3 linked regions of the Canis lupus familiaris genome follow. The protein of the gene in region 3 purifies or fractionates together with the protein of the main gene of each other region. This does not show direct contact. Links are inferred from orthologs where the notes say so. Each region holds a gene or a part of one and is shown on either strand. Other genes may lie near its edges.

Region 1 (7,019 bases), on a different chromosome or scaffold from region 3:
GTGCAGTGGTGAGTGAGGGACGGGGGGCCTGTGGGTGGGGCGAGGAGCACCTCCTGAAGGGAGGACTGTGTCCCCCTGTCTTTGTCACATCCTTTACCTGTTCCCACCTCACCGGGCACTTCCAGCCTGGGCCCGAGGCATCGGTCATCTGTCTCCCATAGAGGATGTCATGTTAGGACCCAGCACATGGGCAGTCCAGACTCAAAAATCCTGGAAAAGTAGAGCAATTGTTAAAGTGTTAACATCTTTAAAAGTAATGCCTTATAAATATTTGCCCTGTATTCAGTAGCAACATGCCAGTACATTTACAGACTGCTTTATACAACAGTGTACTTATACTGAAGATGCTGTGTATTAGTAAATAAATAAAGGACATGTATGCAAGACAAATGATAAGTATTTTCGTGGAAGTGTATTATTGACAAATTTTACCATTCCTAAATATAAATTTTTGTTTTAAAAGCATAAGAGGGATCCCTGGGTGGCACAGCGGTTTGGCGCCTGCCTTTGGCCCGGGGCGTGATCCTGGAGACCCGGGATCGAATCCCACGTCGGGCTCCCGGTGCATGGAGCCTGCTTCTCCCTCTGCCTGTGTCTCTGCCTCTCTGTCTCTCTCTGTGTGACTATCATGAATAAATAAATAAAATCTTTTTAAAAAAATAAAAAAATAAAAAATAAAAGCATAAGAAAGTGGCTTAAAATTTGAACCAATTTGCACACAAGAAAGTTACCAGAAAAAAGATTTATAAATAAAAAACTGAAGGATATACTTTTTAAAAAATTATATCTTTGCCTTTTTTTTAATTACAAAAATAAGTGTATAAGTGTTCATTGTATATGTGAAGGTAAATCATTACCAAAATGTGTAGTTTGAAAACTAACATTCCCCTAAATTAGGTTTCATTCAGAGTATTGAGAGGCCACACACTAATTTAAATGATGCAACTGTTATTCCAATTTTTTTTTTTTTAAAGATTTTATTTATTCATGATAGACATAGAGAGAGAGGGGCGGGGGCAGAGACACAGGCAGAGGGAGAAGCAGGCTCCATGCCGGGAGCCTGACGCGGGACTCGATCCCGGGACTCCAGAACCACGCCCTGGACCAAAGGCAGACGCTAAACCACCGACCCACCCAGGGATCCCCCAAATTTTGTTTTTATTTCCAGTTTTTGTTTTGTATTGTTTTGTTTTAGAGCAGTAATAAGTTCATATGGTTCAAGCTTCCAAAAGTGATAAAAGAGTATGCACTGAAAAGTCCCCTCTGGGCAGCCTCCCCACCACCTGGCTTCCTTCCCCATAGGTACCTGCTACTACTGGTTTTTGGTGTGCTTCCAAGGGTGTTTCATATGGGTACAAGAAAATTGGTCTGTACTTGTCTGTTGGTTCGTTTGTGTTTCACCTCTTTTTTACATCAATGATTAACATAATATGAACTGTCCTGCATGTGCTCACAAAACATTTTTACACCATGAGAATTTCTTTCACACAATCCAGAAAGAACCACTATGAACATTTTTGTGTGTCTCCAGGCTCTTCAGTATATGTTATACTTTTTACAAAAACACAAATTATTATACTCTCCTGTAACCTGCTTCTCAGTCTTGCTATTGAAAATCCTTTATGTTTTTCCATTATTTGTCATATCTGGTATGCAACTGAATGGCTATACTGAAATTTATTTAATTTATGCCCCGTTATTGGAAGCATAGGTGGTTTAGAATTTTTACTTCTTAAAATAACACCAAGAATAATGTTCTTATAGGGAAATCTTTATGGATCCATAATTATTTCCCTAGGACAATTCCTAGAAGTGGAATTAACTGATCAAAAATTATGTGCATCGTAAAGGTTTTTGATGTGTATTAAAATGCTCAACAGAAAGGTTGTATGAATAATGTTTTGACCAGGAACATACAAAGCTGCCTCTTTTACCATACCATTGCCAGCACTGGCTATTATATTTTTCTAAATATCTTTTTGGAAGTAATGAAAACAGTAACTTTTTCAAAGGACAGGTACTTAACTTACATCATTAATTATTTACTTATAAGATTTAGCCTTGGAAATCAACTCTAGAAGAGTGGTTTTTGTGATGGCAGTCCAGTTCAGTCAACATGTATAATGCAAAGAGAAATAAGGCCAGGTGACTGCTTTTCTGGAGTCTGGCAAAATGGCAAAGTATGCCCTCCTGTGGTGGTTTATTTTAAAACAAGCAGTACTTGAGCTGCGTAAGTTCTAGAATATTAAGGAATTGGCTCATTAATTTATAGTCACACCTTATTCTATAACCATCATAAAAATAACTTAAATATCTGTACATCAATATTTTTAACTAATCAAAGAATTGCTGCTTTTCTTCAGTTCAAATGTTGAGCTTTTTCATTATTTTTAACAAGATGAGTTAAAATCCATTCAAACTGGAAGAACAAGTGCTATTTGAAAATATATCCCTAATGTCCCAGCATCTGTATGGTAAGTCTGTTGTCTGCAGAATCAGCTTTTTAGAACTCCACTCCAGTGCTGGAAGGCCAGGTGACACTTCAGGCAGACTTGGACACCCAGTCAGGAGCTGTTTAGTGGACTAGTTTGTGAGAATTATCTGTCTCATTTGTCTTGTAATGCCTTAGACAACTTTTTAAAAATTTCACTCTCTCGTCTCAGATGGCAAGTGGATAGTAATTTCAGGACAGAGGCAGTTTGAGCTTCATAATTCTGTTGTAATGCTACTTTGAAATACTTTTCAGGACCTAACCAATAAACATTTATTTACTATGTCCTTTTATGTTTATAATTTTCCATTGATGGACTAATGACAAGCTTGCCCCTGCCTTACAGTAATCATAGTACCAGCCAGAGCTGTAAGCCGGTGGCCACTGCCATGTGCCAGTGCCTGTAGGCTTCCCACATGCTCCAGACAGGCCAGCTGACCCCTTGCCTATGAGAAGTGTTCAGGACTAAAGTATTTTTTTATTTGAATTTCCCAGGTGTTTTTGGGAAGGAAAGACTTGTACATTCAGACAGAGTAGAAAGAATGGTAGACTTTGGGTTTGAGTCCAGATCTGCCATTCTGTAGTTATAAGACCTTGGGCAAGTCAACCGATCTTCATGTCCTTACCACTGAATGGGGGACTAAAAACAGGGCCTACCACATGGGATTATTGTGGCAAAGAAGCCTGTGTTCGGTGTTGAAGTACTTGGTTATCTATGAAGCATAATTCAAATTTAAGGCATTTTCCTCATCACTGAAAAGCTTTGAAACTAGTTGCGTTTAACATTTTTTCCCCTTCAAATACTATTTCCGGTGCATCGGTGCATCAGTAAGTTCTCTAAATTGGGAAATGTGAATTCATTCACCACTAGAGTTAACATTTAGTCACCTACATTTAGAGGGAAGTGTGTTGCGTGTGCATGTGTTGCGCGTATATCCTATAAACGTGATACGTGTGCAGTGATCCTGGTTTGGAAGTTCTAATTGTATCCTCTGTCAAAACATGAATTTTGGGATCCCTGGGTGGCGCAGCGGTTTGGCGCCTGCCTTTGGCCCAGGGTGTGATCCTGGAGACCCGGGATCGAATCCCATGTCGGGCTCCCGGTGCATGGAGCCTGCTTCTCTCTCTGCCTGTGTCTCTGCCTCTCTCTCTCTCTCTCTCTCTCTCTGTGTGACTATCATGAATAAATAAATAAAATCTTTAAAAAAAAAAAAACATGAATTTTGTATTAGATAAAATGAAAAGTGGAGAAAATTATAAAGACAAGCTAAGGATGAGATTAGAAGTTGGCAGTACTGGCTGTGGTACTCTGGGCACAGGAGGGTTGATGCCTCCACTCCTTCAGGCGGTACAGACTGTTTTTCAGCTCTCAAAGAAATCATCCCAGCCAGATGCAGATGCATTGACTGCTACCCAAAGATAAAATTGCAACCCGGGGGTATCCTGTACAGTTGTAAAGTGATATGTTACAGATGTAAAGTACCTCTTGCCCAAGTGACTTGGGGGCTATAATCAAGGAGATGACATGTTTGCAGGCATTCCAAAGTCCGGCAGAAGAGTGAGATGGACATTGTCGTCAGTGAGGACTTGAATGGAGCGGTGAAGTTTTCAAGCTCCTTACCCTATCCCAATAATCTGAACAGGTAAGGCACAGTGGCACATATCCTCTACGTAGTTTTCTTCCTTTTTTAGAAATAGGTGTCTGCAGTAACATCGGAAAGCTTTTCAAGAGGTTATCAGGATAGCATCCTGTGACTTAAGGACTTGAGATGATCATCTCAGTCATAAACTTAGAATGGATTCCCACTCTTCACCCCATCTAGAAATGATCTCTTTTCTAAATTCACATAACAATTTATCTGTACCTCTTACCACCTTTAGTAGCTTCTAGTTTGTATTACATTTGGTTTTGCATAGGGTTTGTCTTCTAGTCAACCGTAAGCCTTTTCAGATTGTGTTTTTCTTCTCTTTGCACTCCTGTGTAGCCTCATACTGTGTCATAGTCAACAAATCTTTGTAGTTTGCACAGCATTGCAAACTAGTCTTAGAGCCAGAATGTGAACACTTAGATAGTAATATCAACATTGTATAGTAGTACAAAAGAAAGTGGCAAGGCAGTCACACACAGCCGAGTGGTGCAGATAATAATTACCATGAGTATTTAGAGGATGGGGAGAGCGGTAGCGTGTGGACTAGAACTGGAACGACTTTGGATGAGCTGGAACTTTCTGGAAAGATGTGCAGGACATGGATAGATGAAGAGGAAGGAAGGCTGAGGGGGAAGGAGTGAGGGGAGCAAAGGCATGTTCCAGGGGCAGTGCAAAGAGAGTTGGCCTTCGTGGGGGCTGAGAGTGCCTACATGAGGCAGACCTGTGCCCGGGAAGGAGTGTGAACTTTGTTGTGGGAACCATGAGTGGGTTTTGCGCTGCAGGGGTTCAGGAGGGAGGACATGGGATGGGTGTGGATTAAAATAAACCTGGCAGAATGGGGTCTAGCTTGGGGCAGGGGGCTCACCTGGAGGTAGGACACACCTGCGGCATATGAAGAGCTTCACATTTCACTCTCCTGCAGCCAGGTGATCATTGGTCTGTTGACCTATCTGTTGAGAAATCTGGGATTTCAGGGGGTATTTTAGCAGATCAGGTAAAAGGATAAGCACTCAAATCATTAGTCTGGCTGGAAATGTTCGCTTTCTCTCAGGGGGAAATTCATTTTCAATAATCATACTGGTTGCCACGGGTGTATGTGTAGCGGTGAGTGTGTGTGAGGTGCGTACCTTCCAGTTTTGTGTGGGAGGCCGCCTGAGGGCAGTGCAGTGGTCTCCTCCCACACCGTGCCCTCGTTCTTCTCAGCATCCTGGCACAGCGACTGGAGAAGTGGCTGCAGCTCATGTTGATGTGGCACCCACGGCAAAGGGGCACCGACCCTGTGTACGGGCCCAATGGTTGCTTCAAGGCCCTGGATGACATCTTAAACCTAAAGGTAAGTGCGGAGCTAGGTCAGCCCCGAGGCAGCAGTCAGGCCCCTGAGGGGCTGTGGCCAGGCTCAGGAGAAAGAAGAGCGCCTTATGAAGCAGGTCATGGGCCATCTGAGCCGTGGAGAGGGGGCTCCTATGAGTGCCTATCCCTGTGCTAACTGACTTCAGTTGTAAGGTCATAGCTGTGGACAAGCAGGAGTATTAAAGACCAGAACATAGGAACCCTCGTTCCTTTGCTCCCACTGGGACTCCTTTCCCCCAGCTAGCCTTGCCCCTTTCTTTGTGGGGCTGGAAAATGTTGCGAGCAGTAGACGACACAGGCAAAGAGTTGGGCTTCTCTGTAAAGATGGGTTTTTTTCCAATAACATCTGGGTTGTGTTGCAGCTGGTTCATATCTTGAACATGGTCACAGGCATCATTCACACCTATCCAGTGACTGAGGACGAGAGCCTGCAGAACTTGAAGGCCCGAATCCAGCATGACACAGGAATCCCCGAGAAGGACCAGGAGCTGCTGCAGGAAGCTGGGCTGGCACTGATCCCTGACAAGCCCGCCGCTCAGTGCATTTCAGACGGCAAGGTCAGCCCCTGCTCCTTACAGAATGCCTGGTGTTTAACTCTGACTTTGCCCCCAGGCTCTTCAGATTTCAGCTCTACTCTGTTGCATGGTACAGGTACCTCTCTGTTTTTTTTAGTTGGAATGTGAGATCCCCTGCATCGATCTAATACCTAATGGGATACACGAATCCTTCTACGGTTGACTTGTTACTTTCAGACCACTTAGATGCCTTTCTGTTGTTGCCTTCATTGCCAAAGCAATGCTTTGCTCCTCCGAGTCAGCCAGAGCTGTTTCCAGTGTACCTTTGCGTACAGAACCATGTGGACAGCTACAGCTATGCACCACCTGGTCCCTGTCCCAAGGAACCGATGAAGTTAACTTATGAGAACCAAGCATTGGTTAGGAAGGGAGATAGTGAACATCTGCATTGCACAGTAAAAATAATAGAGAATAGATAAAAAAGCTATTACTACTAGCAAGTAGTAAATAAGACACACATTTGGATGATAAGTATAAAGGGAACACAAAGGGACATCTAGGCTGGAGTCATTGAAAAAGGCTTCCTGGACATTCAGTACCTGCTGGCTGAAGATGATGCCATCGGCGAACAGCAGGAAGCGCTCTGAAATCCCTGTGTTATTACTTGAAAAAGGCAGGAGTGGGACCCACAAGATTTCTTCTTGTTCTTGTCCCTTTGCAGCTGAATGAGGGCCGCACACTGGATATGGACCTTGTCTTTCTCTTTGACAACAGTAAAATCGCCTATGAGACTCAGATCTCCCCACGGCCCCAACCTGAAAGTGTCAGCTGTATTCGTAAGAACATCATTGGTTTTGTTTTGTTTTGTTTTGTTTTGTTTTGTTTTGATTAATCACTTGGGATGCCTGGGTGGCTCAGTCAGTTGGGTGTATGCCTCCAACTCAGGTAATGATCCCAAGGTTCTAGGATCGAGCCTCATGTCAGACCCTCTGCTTGGTGGGAGGCCTGCTTCTC
Region 2 (6,828 bases), on a different chromosome or scaffold from region 3:
ATGAAGAATCAAGGGAGGTCAGTCTTCAGAAGGTAGACTTGAGCATATTTATTATGTGCTTGGGGGCCCAAAGCCTATGAAGAAGGGAGTCCCTAAACAAGCTTGAGAGGCTAACTCAATTAGCCTTGCTGTCTCTGGTATTAGAGGGATTGTGGGTGTGGATACTGACACTTTGTGGTTGTAGGGGTTAGAAGATGGGGGTCTCCCTTATAGCCTCCCATCCTGAAGTAAGAAGTGGGGTTAACTGTTAACAGAAGGCGTGGGTGATAAGGTTAATGGAAGAGATGATGACTGCATAGATTTAAGGAGTATGCTAAAGATTTTTAAAAGCTGGTATGTACACGGGCTCAGTGGTTGAGCATCTGCCTTGAGATCTTTTATAGATCACTCCTGTAGCGACAGTATGGATAGCTCAGGTTGTGGTCCTGGGGTCCTGGGATTGAGTCCTCCATTGGGCTCCCCACAGGGAGCCTGCTTCTCCCTCTGCTTATGTCTCTGCCTCTCTGTCTCTCATGAATAAATGAACAAAATCTTAAAAAACAAAACAAAACTGGTGTGTACAGTGGAAGATGTTGCTGACCCAGAAGATTTATTAAGAATCCAGAGCAGAAATGAAAACTTGTGAATTAGCAGTGACAACAGAGAATGGTAGTATTTTTTTTGGTGTTTAGTGGCTTGGCTGCAGGAACTGACAAAGCAGAAGGTTAGACTGATTCAGACTTAAGATTTTGCTCATAGAAGACAAAAAAAATCAAGATATTGACAGAAAGTGATATAAGTGATATGAAGCTGTGGTTAGAATAATTGAAATTTAAAATTTCAATAGAGCAAGTCTAATTCTTTTTTTCTAGTGTCTTTCTAGCTTAGAGTTGACTTGAGACTCTTGTTAAGCTAAAAATGGTGAAAAACTTTCTTCATTTTGTATGCTGGAGAAGATTAATGTTCTGAGGTCTCTGAGAGGAGCTTATTTGCAACTCTTTATCTAGTTGTGAGGGAGAGACAGAGGGACATGTGTAGGGAATAAACTTGAGCTGTGGGGGAGAGGTCTTTGCAGTGATAACAAAGGACACTGAACTTTTTAAAAACGTTTTTTGATACCTTTTCATAGTAAAATATGGGTAATAGTTGTAGCCATCTCCCAGGACTCCTATGAGGGTTAAATGAGAAAAGTGTTAAGTAGGTGATAGCAAATAATATTTTTGCAGCTGAGACTAAAAATTGTTCGAGGAAATACCAGCATTATCTATGAGCAGTCTTCCAGTTTAAAAAACTTTAAATGCCATTTTTTGAAATGTAACAGTGCTTTTGTTTTTTTGTTTTTTTGTTTTTTTTTTTTTTTTTTTTTTTTGAGAGGGGAAGAGTATAAGCAGAGCAGAGGGAGAGGGAGGGAGAGAATCTTAAGCAGACTCCACAGTCAGTGCAAAGCCTGATGTGGAGCTCCATCTCATGACCCTGAGATCATGACCTGAGCCAAAATCAAGTCAGACATTTAGTCAACTGAGCCACCCAGGCACCCTGTTTTTGCTGTTTTTTTAATTGAGTTACATCTCCTGTAGACTGTAGAACTCACTCATCACTCACTGTGTCCACACAGCCATCCTATTTGAGGACATTTGGCAGTTTCCAGTTTAAGATGTTCTACTACCCTCAGACTGAACTTTCAGGGTGTGTATAGGTCCTTTTATTAGTGCATCAGGTTTGGCTTAAGTTAGTCAGCTTTTTTCAAAGTTTCATGGGCTGCAAACAGATGGATAAACATGAAATCCCAAGTATCCTAGATAGGTCAAGGGCCTCCTGCTTTTAAACCAGTGAAAGTTTGATAAATTGTCCTACTGTTTCTAAATAAATGATGTTAATCATCCAAGAAAAATTGATCTTTTGGCCAGAAAGCTGCATATGGATTTAGGATTTGGGTTAATATGGGTTAAAGATAGCTAAACATATCCTTCTCAAAACAGGCAACTAAGTTCTGTGAAGATAACAGTGATAAATTTATATATGCATTAAACACACACACTTTGTTTTTAGATATATATTTGTTTATACATTATATAATCTTAAAATTTTAATCCAGTTTTAAATTTAAATGGAGATGCTTATTAATTAAAACTAGTTTCAGATTTTTAGGAATTTTTTGTTTGGAGGCTGATATGTTCATGCAGAAAAGAGGTTATACCCACTGACTGAGATCTTTTATAGATCACTCCTATAGCGACAGCACGGAAATGGTGAAGATCATTGTGCATACTGTTCAGAGTCAGGACCGGGTTCTCAAGGAGCTGTTTGGTCATCTGAGGTAGAAAAATTGTTTTATTTCCTACTGAAAAGCCAGGGTACTTTTATCATGTTCCTTTCAAAGTGTAATATCCTTTTTTTGTAAATATACTAGACCCAGGAAGATATCTGGCAATACCTTGGGTAACTTGGCCACAGTTGTGTGCGTTTAGGTGTCCTATTTTGTGTGCATCACTTTGGAAATCAGTCACTAAATCTGGTGCTGATTGTGGTTCATTTTCCCAGTTGGGTGTGGGAGTATGGTATATAGTCTTAGGGTTATGTCTAATTGTGTGACACTGATTTCATCTCTCCAGCAAGTTATTGGGCTGTAAGCAGAAGATTATTGATCTACTGCCCAAGGTGGAAATGGCCCTCAGTAACATCAAAGAAGCTGACAATACTGTCATGTTTATGCAGGGAAAGAGACAGAAAGAAATATGGCATCTCCTTAAAATTGCCTGTGTAAGTAACTTTTAATAAATTATTTAATGTGACATTGATTTGCTAGTATTCTTTGCAAAAGGGATTCTTCTTTCGGCATGAGCTGAATCCTTTTTAAAGATGTCTGTATTTTGTGTTAAGGTTGATGCTCATGTTCTTTTCTTGGTGTTTGACTTCAGATGCAGGACATCATGATCATCCTCCATTATTTCTTTCCTCTCTGGTCTCATGTTTATCTATTCCTTCCAGCCGTAGACCACTGTGGCATCCTATCCCAATTTGGGAATAGATGTGTGTGATCAGTTAATAAAACTCTAGCCCCTTGTTCAACTAGTTTGTTTTTTTTTTTTCTCCAACAAAAGTGGAATGAGAAGGGCAAATACATTTGGTTTTAGTTAAGAAAGGTGGTCAAGGACAGGATAGTTTTGTACAGAAATACTTATAAAAAGGTGAGGATAGTTTTGTGGTTGTGCATCTAAGCACTGGTAGAAGTGTAAATCTTAGGAACATTGTAGGAAATTGTATGCATCAATTGTGGTGCTTGCCTGTAATCTTATTTACTTTTTCCCCCTTCAGACACAGAGTTCTGCCCGGTCCCTCGTAGGATCCAGTCTAGAAGGTGCAGTAACCCCTCAGGCATCAGCATGGCTTCCTCCAAATTCAGCAGAACGTGAACATCCTCTGTCATGCGTGGTAACTCCTCAAGATGGGTGGGTTCACTTTGCAACAATAGATAGTTGTTTTCAAGAGCAGTGGTAGGAATGAGGTAGAGTAGAGCATAGTGGTTAAGAAAAAGTCTTCAGTACTTTATACACCAGGGTTAAATCCTGACTGTCCCTTTTATAATAATGTCCCTTTGTAATAGCCTTGGGCAAATTAACTTGATTCTTTAAATGTTCCCATTTCCTCACCTGTAAAATGGGAACTGTTCTGAAAATTCAATTAGATGTTGTATGTGAAGTGTATGGAAAGTAAATATCAGCAAATGTTACTTATGTAGCTCAATCTAAGTTTTAAGTTCTTTCTCTGTTACTGGCTTAGCAATTCTTTTACCCAAGCTATTTCTTCCATAACCATTTATCTCAAAAGTTATGCTGTCTTTTGGATTTATCATTTTGGGGTCCTTGATCACCTTTCTAATGAATTATTGAGTGTAATCTACTTGATTTTATAACTTGGTATTTCTAAAATCAGGCTTTTTTAAATGCCTTAAATCAGTTTTGCAAATAAGAACTCAAGTGTGAAGCCTTATATTTTCTTTTATTAATTCCTACTCTCCTGCTAAAAGCTGAATGACTATCCATTTCTGTTATTTTTCTCAGCATAAGATGTGCCGTATCCAGAGCCAGTGGCTCTTTGCTAGCTTGTGTATTGTCGCTTTTCTCACAACTCATGGAGACCTCTACAGCAGCACCAGCATTACCTGGAAGCTCTGCCCATAATTAGTTTTGCAGAAGTGCAGCCATGTTACATCACTGCTCAGGAGGTCATGCAGTTGCACATTCTGTACTCTACTTTTATGAGAGAAAAGCACATGGCAGGAAGGAAAGCTGATATCAGGTATTTTATTTTTTTAAAGAAAGCAAGTTGTAGGGTGTATCTTGGGATCGTTAGAGATTTGGCCCAATGTAATACATCCACAGCTACAGCACAGGCTATATAATTGACTTTAGAAAATATTCCATTACTCAGAGTTGAAACAAATAAAATTTAGTACATTACTAACCTTTTTACTTTTGTTAAAGGCATTTAGGTTAGGGGATGCTAATGGTTGCAAATGTCACCTCTATACAGTCCATTTCTAATTTGAGGTTGGGTTGTTAGCAAAAGCATGTCGGACAGGAATTTTAAATGTTTTCCAGTAGGAATACGTTATAAAGTAAAATTGATTTCAATTACAATGTGCACATAATACTTAACCACCAAGGTGGGATCTGTTGGATTCAATTTTTCATCTTTTGAATACGTGCTTTAGAATTAGAATTTAGTTTTGACCTTATAGTGGCTATCATTTATGGCCTAGAACTAATTCTAGTAAGGTAGAGACTGAGGGCTGGTAAAAGGTAAAGGATAGAGGCCAAATGGCAGAGGAAAGTGGGGAAGGTGGAAACCAAAATAAGGATTTTCTTCAAATATAAACTTCCAGAGATTCTTGTTGGTTCTGGGCAGCTACCTTATGATGCTATTTTCTTCTGCTGTCCTCAGAAATCAGCTTGCTTGTTTTCTTTTTCATCGCTGTCATCTGTAGTTTCCAACCAGTTTTCACCTTCCCTTATCTTTGCAGACCAGATTGTACTTCTTTATCTTCACCCTTATATTTGTGTCTCTGGAGTAATAAGCACACTGATATTTTTACTACTTATAAGGAAAGGAAAATATTCCAGAAACAAAAAGATTTTTCATCTGTCTGCACTACAATTTTCTCTCCCACTCCACCCCCCATTAGCATTTTTCAAGAGTGGGGAGGGTAGTTGTATTTAAGTGCTGCTTATATTTCAGAGGAAAATGAGATTGCATTTATAATGGATTTCTTCTCATTCAAGCTGGGCAGAAGCAACAGCTTGCATTAACAAGCAAGACTCTGCCTCTGGGTGGGAGGGATAAGGAAACTGAAGACCATAGGAATCAGCTGCATTGGGGTGCTGGGTTGCAGGGCTGCAGGAGGGGCAGTGATTATCCTGACCCTGAAGACCAGAAGGTAGAGGAAATTTGTATGTCTCTTTGCTGCATTTGAAAAGGCTTTGTTTTTTCATCATACAGGGAGACTATAGTACAAATGATAGAAGAAAATTTGAACTGTCTTGGCCATTTAAGCACTATTATTCATGAAGCAAATGAGGAACAGGGCAGTAGAATGATGGTAAGTTTTATATGGATATGGGTATGTTTTGACTTTCCATGCTAGCCACCTCTGGCATTTGGGATGCATATGGGGAAAAGGAGAACTCAGAAGAAAGAGAAAAGACATTTAAGTTATATCTTTGACCTCAGATCCCAATCTTCTCTTATTCATGGATATACTAGGATTATGTCATTAGTAAATCTTCAGCAGTAGCATTTTGGTCAAATTAAATGAAGGGTGAACTTTTTTTGCAATGTGACCACTGAAATTGAATGGTTTGTACCTTTTTGCTTCAGTAATCAATTTTCTTCAATAAGATGGGGCAGGATTTGTACTGTAACTCAAATATAATAACAGCTGTACGTAAAACAAATAATGTTAACACAGTCAAAATTAATAGAAATATTAAGATTTGGTTACTGTGAATTACTGATTTGTTAAAACTCAGAGAAACCACAAAAAATGTTTATTGAGTTAATTTTACTACAGTTAGTCTCAAGGTCAATTGCTTGTATTTCCTTTCATTATTTACTTCAAATATTTATGAAAACTGAAATATTTTTTCTGAAATATTTTTTTTAATCGGCAGGACAGAAGGTAAAATTAAACTAACTGTAACTTATACTTTGATTTTTCAACTTTTGATTATAAAATGTCCAAACACACAGAAAACTTGCAAAAAGTAACACCCATAAACCTACTGTTTAAAGTCAACATCTAATTATAATTTTTTCCATGCTGGTTTTAGAATCTTGATTGGAGTTGGTTAACAGAATGACTTGCTACTTATTCAGTGTGCCCAAACTGACGGAGATTGTTGCTGCACATGCAGGAAATTTGTTTTTCTCCCATGAAAATACTCTTCAGACACCAACAAATGGAAGAAATGGCTATGATCAGAAAAAATGCAAGATTTTACAAGCACGGTATTTCGACTTTGGGAAATTTTAACCCCTAAACAGAATTTTAACCCGTGAACAGAGAATTTTAAACAAGTCAGTGGACTTGTTTAAATATGATAGCTACTTAAGCATATCATGGCAATCCATTTGTCTTCAAACATGATAAAACACTTAACTGACTAAAAACCATCTTTTACCACTAAATTTTGGGCATAAGGCCAAAAGTATCATCGATATGCAGAAAACAAAACCTCAACTAATGTATGTGTTGTAAGTAAAAGTTGTTTGCCTGTTTTTGTGGGAGAGATTGGTCTCAAGTAAAACTGTATTTCATGAAGAATAAACTCTACCTCCTTTTGTTGCATT
Region 3 (6,593 bases):
TTTAAAGATGAAGAGGAGAGAAAAAATAAAAAAAATAAAGATGAGGAGAAGGAAATAGGAGCAGAATATGGGGAGAAGTACCTCCTTGCAAGATGGAAATGTCACTAGTGAAGGACAATGGTAGGAAAGACAGGTGGCACATCCAGTGAGTAGACATGTCTGCACAAAATAGAGGGGTACAGTGGGAATGGAAGGATGTGTGTCAACAGAGAGCCTGGGATGCCCTAGGCGTTCCTAGGTCACTAGGCGGTCAGAGGACTAGGGCTCACCAGGGCATAGAGATGACCTTGCTTCACCCTGCATTTTACAGGTGAGGAACTCGAGACTCAGAAAACTTGCCCACAGCCTCGTGGGTAGTAAGTCTCTTGGGTGACAGCCTCATGTTAGTGGTTTTCTAACAGAGCTGAACCTTAAGTTCCATTGAGAGACCTCAGCAGCCAGCATAGGGTAAGGGGGGAAGGAAGTTAGGGTGACTAGCCATGTGGCTCTACTAGGTGGTTGCATGAGTGTTACACTTGGACTTTTAAAAAGATTATCATAATTACAAAAAAGGAAAAAAACACTTCACTTTGCACGAAGTGAACATGCAACATCCAAGCATGTTGGTTTTTGTTATTTTAGTTTTGGGATTGCGGGATAAGGGTGGTTTTGGTAGAGCCTCTGAAGATTTTCAGGTAGGAAGGCAAGACAAGTAAAGCAGTGTTTGAAAACATATAGACTGGCTGTTCTTAAAAGAAGTAAAAGCAAGAGATCCCTATAAATTAGTTGTTCATGGAGGTGAGTTCCTGCCAGAAGCTCATGGAAAATCACTTCATTTCACTCTGGTTTCTGTTTCAGGGACCCATGGTGTCCTTAAGACACCCTGTAGCCAGCGGTTACATTCTAAACAAACATCTAGCAGGGGTATGAAAAAAGGGGTAACCACTGCAGGCACTCAGGACCTGTGGCTTGCCTCTTGGCTCAAGAGGCTTGGTCTCTCCCATTCAGTACTGCCCTTGACCTGCTGTGTTTCAGTTCGAAGAGTTTCCAGATTTCTTTCCTATCCTGGCCAATGTTCAGTTTCACCTCATGAGGAAAGTAACAGGAGAGGGGACAGTGTGGGGAAAAAAACAAGTCAAAAAATATTAAAGATGATTTGAATTAAACATTACTTTACCAGCAGGTTTGCAGATGTCTTGTTCCAAGGGGGCTATTGGCAACTAGTTTATATTATCCCTGAAGTGAGCTTCTCCTCATAGCAAGACGGTTATCCTTAGAAGGCAGCTTTGTAAGAAATCAGACTTGATCAATGGGAAGTCAACCAATTGATCACTTATTCTATGTTGTTGCACTTTACACCCCAGGAATCAGTGTGTGTGTGTGTGTGTGTGTGTGTGTGTGTGTGTGTGTGTGTTTATCATCCCACCCACAGAACAGCCCCACAGGAAGGACACTTGACTCACTTTACACATGAGGACACTGAGTCGAAAAGTTTGGTATCCTACCAGAGGTCCTATAAATTGGTCTAGATCCCCTTGAAAGACAGCATTTCTAGGGCAAAGAGCAAGGAAGCAAAAGCCCAGATTCCAGAATATTTAGAAGGCTCAATTGAGGGAGAATGTTGTCACCGGTGTGACTTGAAGCAACAGGTGACACTGGTAAGTAGGAAAATAAAGTTAGAAAAGCATGTGTCAAATCGCTGAGCCTTTACCTTCATGGAGTCAAATTCCTGGGGATCCAAGCTCAGGTACTAAGAGATGCAACCTTGTCTGAGGCTTCCCTTTAGAAATAACTGCTCCTTTCTGCTGTTGCTCAGCTGTTCGTGAGGGAACCTGAAAAGAGGCTGGGAGTGAGGGGAGACATCCGCCAGCATCCTTTGTTTCGGGAGATCAACTGGGAAGAGCTTGAAAGAAAGGAGATTGACCCACCATTCCGGCCTAAAGTGGTAAGGACCCACCCAGGACCTTTGGCTCCCCACCATTCCCGCCTTGCTCCACTCACCCCCAAGGCTGCCTGCCTGCTTCCCCTCACCCCTGTGTGGGCCCCAGCTTCCCTCCTGGATTCAGTTCTTGGAGGAAGGTGCTTCCTTAACCATAATTCAGGTTGTTTGGCTGGTGGGGGGTTGGGGAGCAAGGGGATGTTACTCTTGTTTGCAGTATCTAACCTCTGCAACGAAAATGTACCTGCATGAAAAGGAGCTGTTGGGCGTACGTGCCTCAGACTTAACACGCACGTGCCAGGTGACTCTCAGATGAGATAAGGAGTTTGTCTGATGTTTGTAATTCATTCACATACCTGTATCTCCTAATGGTGATTGTTACATGTTCTTTGGTTTAAGAAGTAAATTGGAGCTTAAGAAAAGACAGGTCTCTAAACTCCCATGTGTACGCTCACTAGCAAAAGTCACTAACCTCACTGAGAAAAAGTGACTTGACCACTTGCAGAACAAGCCGCCATAAAGTGAAGACAAAAATAAAACACAGTTAAGATGAGAAAGTTCTGCAGATGGATGTTGATAACAATGCATGCGCTTAATGCCACCGAACTGTACTCCTAAAAATGGTTCAAATGGTCACTTTTATGTTAGGTATATTTTAGTACAATTTTTACATGAAGTTATTTTTTAAAAGAGTAAACCAAAGGGGTGTGTTTGCCATCTTTACCCATTCCTGGTGATTCCTGGGAAAAAAAGAAGTAATGACCCAGATAGATATAAACCATCTCGACTATCTCTTTGCATAGAGATGACATCTCTATGTCTGTTCCATGGGTGAGATGTTCCATGGGTGGGATGACATGCTCCACTCTAGAAAAGAGCTACTCCCATTCATCAGGATAGCGGTTGACCAGAGGAGGCAACTGTGTTCTCAGGGTTAGCAAAGTTAGTCTCAACATTTGACCCAAGCTCTGGGGATGCTCTAAGGGTTCTACAGGCTGGCCTATAGCACTCTTGTTATTTTTAATAGCGTCATACCTAAACTATGAGTTAATAATTTGTGATAAAATGAATTTTTACCTTGTTTTAGCTCATCAGAACAATATAATTCATGTCTCAACTTCCATGGTACATTACAATCAACTTGATATTATCCACCTAAAAATCAGACTTTTGATCTACACTTTCCCTAGAGGACAATTCTCGATTCTACCAGTAGGAAGGAATTTCCCTCATGTGTTGTCTAAACAGCTATTTGTAGGCAGAGGCCACAGGCTATTGGTCTCACCAGCCAGGAGCCCTCTTGAGGATAGGAAGAGCCTGACTCTTAGTTACTCATATATACACAAAGGTGACTTTTGATAATCTAAAAAAATTGAACCATACACCATACAAAGCAGTATTTATAAATAGGTGTTCGTTTTTACATTCTTTCTTTTTCTTTTCTCATGAGCACCAATGGACCAGGTGGCTTAAGGGGAGCTAGTCCCAATCTGTCTATAGAAGAAGTCCAAAATGGTTAATAATGAAATTAATATGGGTAGAGGACTAAAAATAGTGAAGGATATTGATATAAGAACAGGAGTATATAATCTGCAAAAGTCCTGACTTCTGCTCCGACCCTCTTCCCCTTCCCCAAACTGTCCCCTGAACACCAAAAGGCTACAGGTCAAATCTGGGCTCACCACTGTTTCAAAGGTTGTCAATCCTGTTTCATGTAAACTATTGACCAGAAGCATGAGATACTATTTGATGTATATAATGAAATTCCTTGACATGAATTTAATTGTACCATTGCTAAGGGCACAGCTCAGGATCTTAGAAATGTTCCATAAATCCTATGACCATCTATAAATATTATTTCAGTTTACCTGGAATGCCCACATGGTCATACACAGATTGAACCCAGATAACAAAAATGAAGATAAATAATTCAATGCCTGATTTTCTTCCCTTTTTCCCTCCACCCTTCCCTTAAACTCGGATGAAGAAATCACCGTATGACTGCAGCAATTTCGACAAAGAATTCTTAAATGAGAAACCCCGGCTGTCATTTGCTGACAGAGCCCTGATCAACAGCATGGACCAGAACATGTTCAGAAACTTTTCCTTCATTAACCCAGGGATGGAGAAGTTGATATCCTGAAGCACATCCCCTGACACACAAGGGAATTTGTCTTGTGTCTGTGAACTGGTTCCAGTGACGCTCCTTGGATTCCTTTTCACCTTGGGAAAGAAAAGAAACACTCAATAATACAGGCTGAGACCTTTTAGCTCCTCACTGACTTTGCATCTACAGCAGAAGCCAACTCCTCCACTAATAACTACACCCTTCGGTGCTTCTCTGTCCTCTCCTGTGGCCACTCTTGAAGCGAGGTCATTACTAACCATAGTTACTTACTGGCACAATGGTTCTCTGCAATGTGAAAAGACCTGAAAAGTTAATACTGCCCGAAATCATGGCTCTTCACATGGGCATCAACAGCTGATGAGTGGCCGAAGGCAGAGTGAGCACAGACGTCTCAAGACTGAAACAGCGCCTCACCCTCTGCAGGAGTGGACTTCATTCAGCCACAGACAAGTAACCACTAACCTGTTTTGTTCTGTTTGCATCTGTGGAAGCGTAAATGGTGGTGGGGGAAGCCCTGAATAGGTTTTTATGGGAATTCTTCACAATAAACATAGCTTGTAACTCGAGATTTACAGATCCATTCATTCTGATTAGGCATGAGATTCTCGGGAAAGAGGAAAATGGAAAGTAAAGAAGAGCTCATGTCACTGAGATGGAGGGTTTAATAAAACACCTACTCTGGCTATCTTGTCAACATAGACAGTAGAGTCCAACAAAGATAGAATCACTTACTCCTGCCAATAGAACCACCCCATCCACCCATTCTCAGTTGATTTCAGTATCAGTGGAAGTCACTCATTACCATACTCTTCACACTGTAACAAAAAAAAGGAAGTGCATAATCCTTACAACAGAAAAGCAAAGCAATCTCTTATACCCTTAAAGTTGATTTGATGACTCATTTGTCTCCCTTTAGGCATTATTCAAGATAAAAGACCTATGCATGCTACTTGTAGCAGTTGATCTTGTTTAACTAGAATTTTAGCTATACATTTTTAAGTATCTGTGCTATTTGTATATTTTGATAAAATATTGTGACTTAATGACAGAGGTGGAGATATGTAAAAATGGAATAAAAGAAAGAAAGAAAGAAAGATGCCTCCTAATAGTTTTATTCCCTACTTGCCCCTAAGAACTTGGGTTTTTTTTTGTGGTTATCATCAAAATGTAGCTAGCATGGAGTTTATGTTGTAAATTTTGGGAATCCCTAAAAATCCCCAAATAGGTGAGAAACTCAGGTAACTTCTAAATTACTGTTACTATGTTCCTCTTTCCCTTCACCATGAGATATCTCTGGAGTGGTCTACACATTGTCTCTACTCCTCCAACATCTGAATCCAGCTCTGTCCTCCTACATGTCCCCAGGCACTGCTTCCTCCCAGGACTACCTTCCTGGAATGCACTAGGTCCTCACCTACCTTTCTGCAGTTTTTTTTTTTTTTAATATGAGGAAAGATCCTCCCTTCAATCTCAGCCCCGTTAGACACTGTGACACAGCACTTTCCCTTGTTCTCCCTCCACCTTTGACTGCCCCCTTGACCAGCCCCTTTCCTCCTACCTCAAATCACTTCCAAGGCCCCATTCCTCATCTTGGTTTCACCTTCCTTTGGTTCTTTCCTGCCACATCATACCTCATACCTTCATCACCCAGCGCATATCATCTCAAGTCCACATCTCCAGTTCTAACTTTGCTTCCAGCTTTCAAACAGTCTCTGCTGACTTGCTCTATTTTCTTATAATCTCTATCTCTATTGTGTTTCCTAACTCTGTTAATGGTACCACTCTAGGTCCAGTCATCTAGGCTCAGAACCTCAGAGTCATTGTTCACTGTCCCCTCTCCTTAATTTTTAACCAAATCCTTATGATTCTGCTTTTGTAGTGTGTCCAAAAAAACATACTCATCTCTACATTCTCTTCTGCTAGTCATGCCTGGATCAATATCCCCCATCTTAAGCCTTTCTCCCCATTTTAATTCATGCATACAACATACGTTATAGGGTAGGAATAACTTTTTATCTACCCTCCTCCATTAATAACCTGGGCCTGCTGATTAAACTGACAAAAGACATCAGCAAGAGAAGCCTACTTTTACTTACACATGCTACATGCATATATATAGGATTGCCCAGTGATGAGTATTTCAAAGGAGTGGTTTGGGGAATTTGGGACTTAAGTTCCTAGTTTAGCAGGAGAAAGGAGGGTGGGGGCAGAGAAAAGCCTCCTATGGGAAGGACAAATAAGTTTCTTTAAGTAGTGTAAATGGGGTTTCAGGAGAACAAATAGGAAATAAGAAAGTTTGTGATAATGTTTGTCTATACAGGTATGAGTGCTCTTTCCATCTTCCTTAGGGCCATAACATTCCCCCAGAAAGGGGATTTATGATAAGTAGGTTTACTCTTGGTCTCATGCCTACCAATAGACCCACTCTGAAGAAGGAATTTTTAGGAGTCCTCATTTCTCTGAAATTTCTGTTCTTAGATAAGGAAAGCTCCCAGAAGGCCTCTTTCTGCATCTGTTGAATCCCAAGTGTCTTAGCTTAAGATAATC

The links.
Region 1: the proteins of PRKCQ (region 3) and IKBKB purify together in Homo sapiens (affinity purification with western blotting; 4 studies listed by BioGRID). This does not show direct contact. The link is inferred for Canis lupus familiaris from reciprocal best matches to the Homo sapiens genes PRKCQ and IKBKB.
Region 2: the proteins of PRKCQ (region 3) and CHUK purify together in Homo sapiens (affinity purification with western blotting, with the first as the bait; 3 studies listed by BioGRID). This does not show direct contact. The link is inferred for Canis lupus familiaris from reciprocal best matches to the Homo sapiens genes PRKCQ and CHUK.

The regions. Positions count from the first base shown.
Region 1 is NC_049237.1:24,105,672-24,112,690, reverse strand, and holds part of IKBKB (inhibitor of nuclear factor kappa-B kinase subunit beta), read left to right. Parts: coding exon 1-8; intron 9-97; exon of another isoform or gene 98-210; intron 211-4,026; coding exon 4,027-4,134; intron 4,135-5,343; coding exon 5,344-5,473; intron 5,474-5,852; coding exon 5,853-6,047; intron 6,048-6,726; coding exon 6,727-6,841; intron 6,842-7,019.
Region 2 is NC_049249.1:13,152,944-13,159,771, reverse strand, and holds part of CHUK (inhibitor of nuclear factor kappa-B kinase subunit alpha), read left to right. Parts: intron 1-2,199; coding exon 2,200-2,296; intron 2,297-2,591; coding exon 2,592-2,739; intron 2,740-3,056; exon of another isoform or gene 3,057-3,294; coding exon 3,295-3,428; exon of another isoform or gene 3,429-5,478; coding exon 5,479-5,578; exon of another isoform or gene 5,579-6,308; coding exon 6,309-6,338; 3' UTR 6,339-6,828.
Region 3 is NC_049223.1:28,534,294-28,540,886, forward strand, and holds the end of PRKCQ (protein kinase C theta type), read left to right. Parts: intron 1-1,795; coding exon 1,796-1,924; intron 1,925-3,905; coding exon 3,906-4,061; 3' UTR 4,062-4,612; downstream 4,613-6,593. UniProt on the Homo sapiens protein: Calcium-independent, phospholipid- and diacylglycerol (DAG)-dependent serine/threonine-protein kinase that mediates non-redundant functions in T-cell receptor (TCR) signaling, including T-cells activation, proliferation, differentiation and survival, by mediating activation of multiple transcription factors such as NF-kappa-B, JUN, NFATC1 and NFATC2.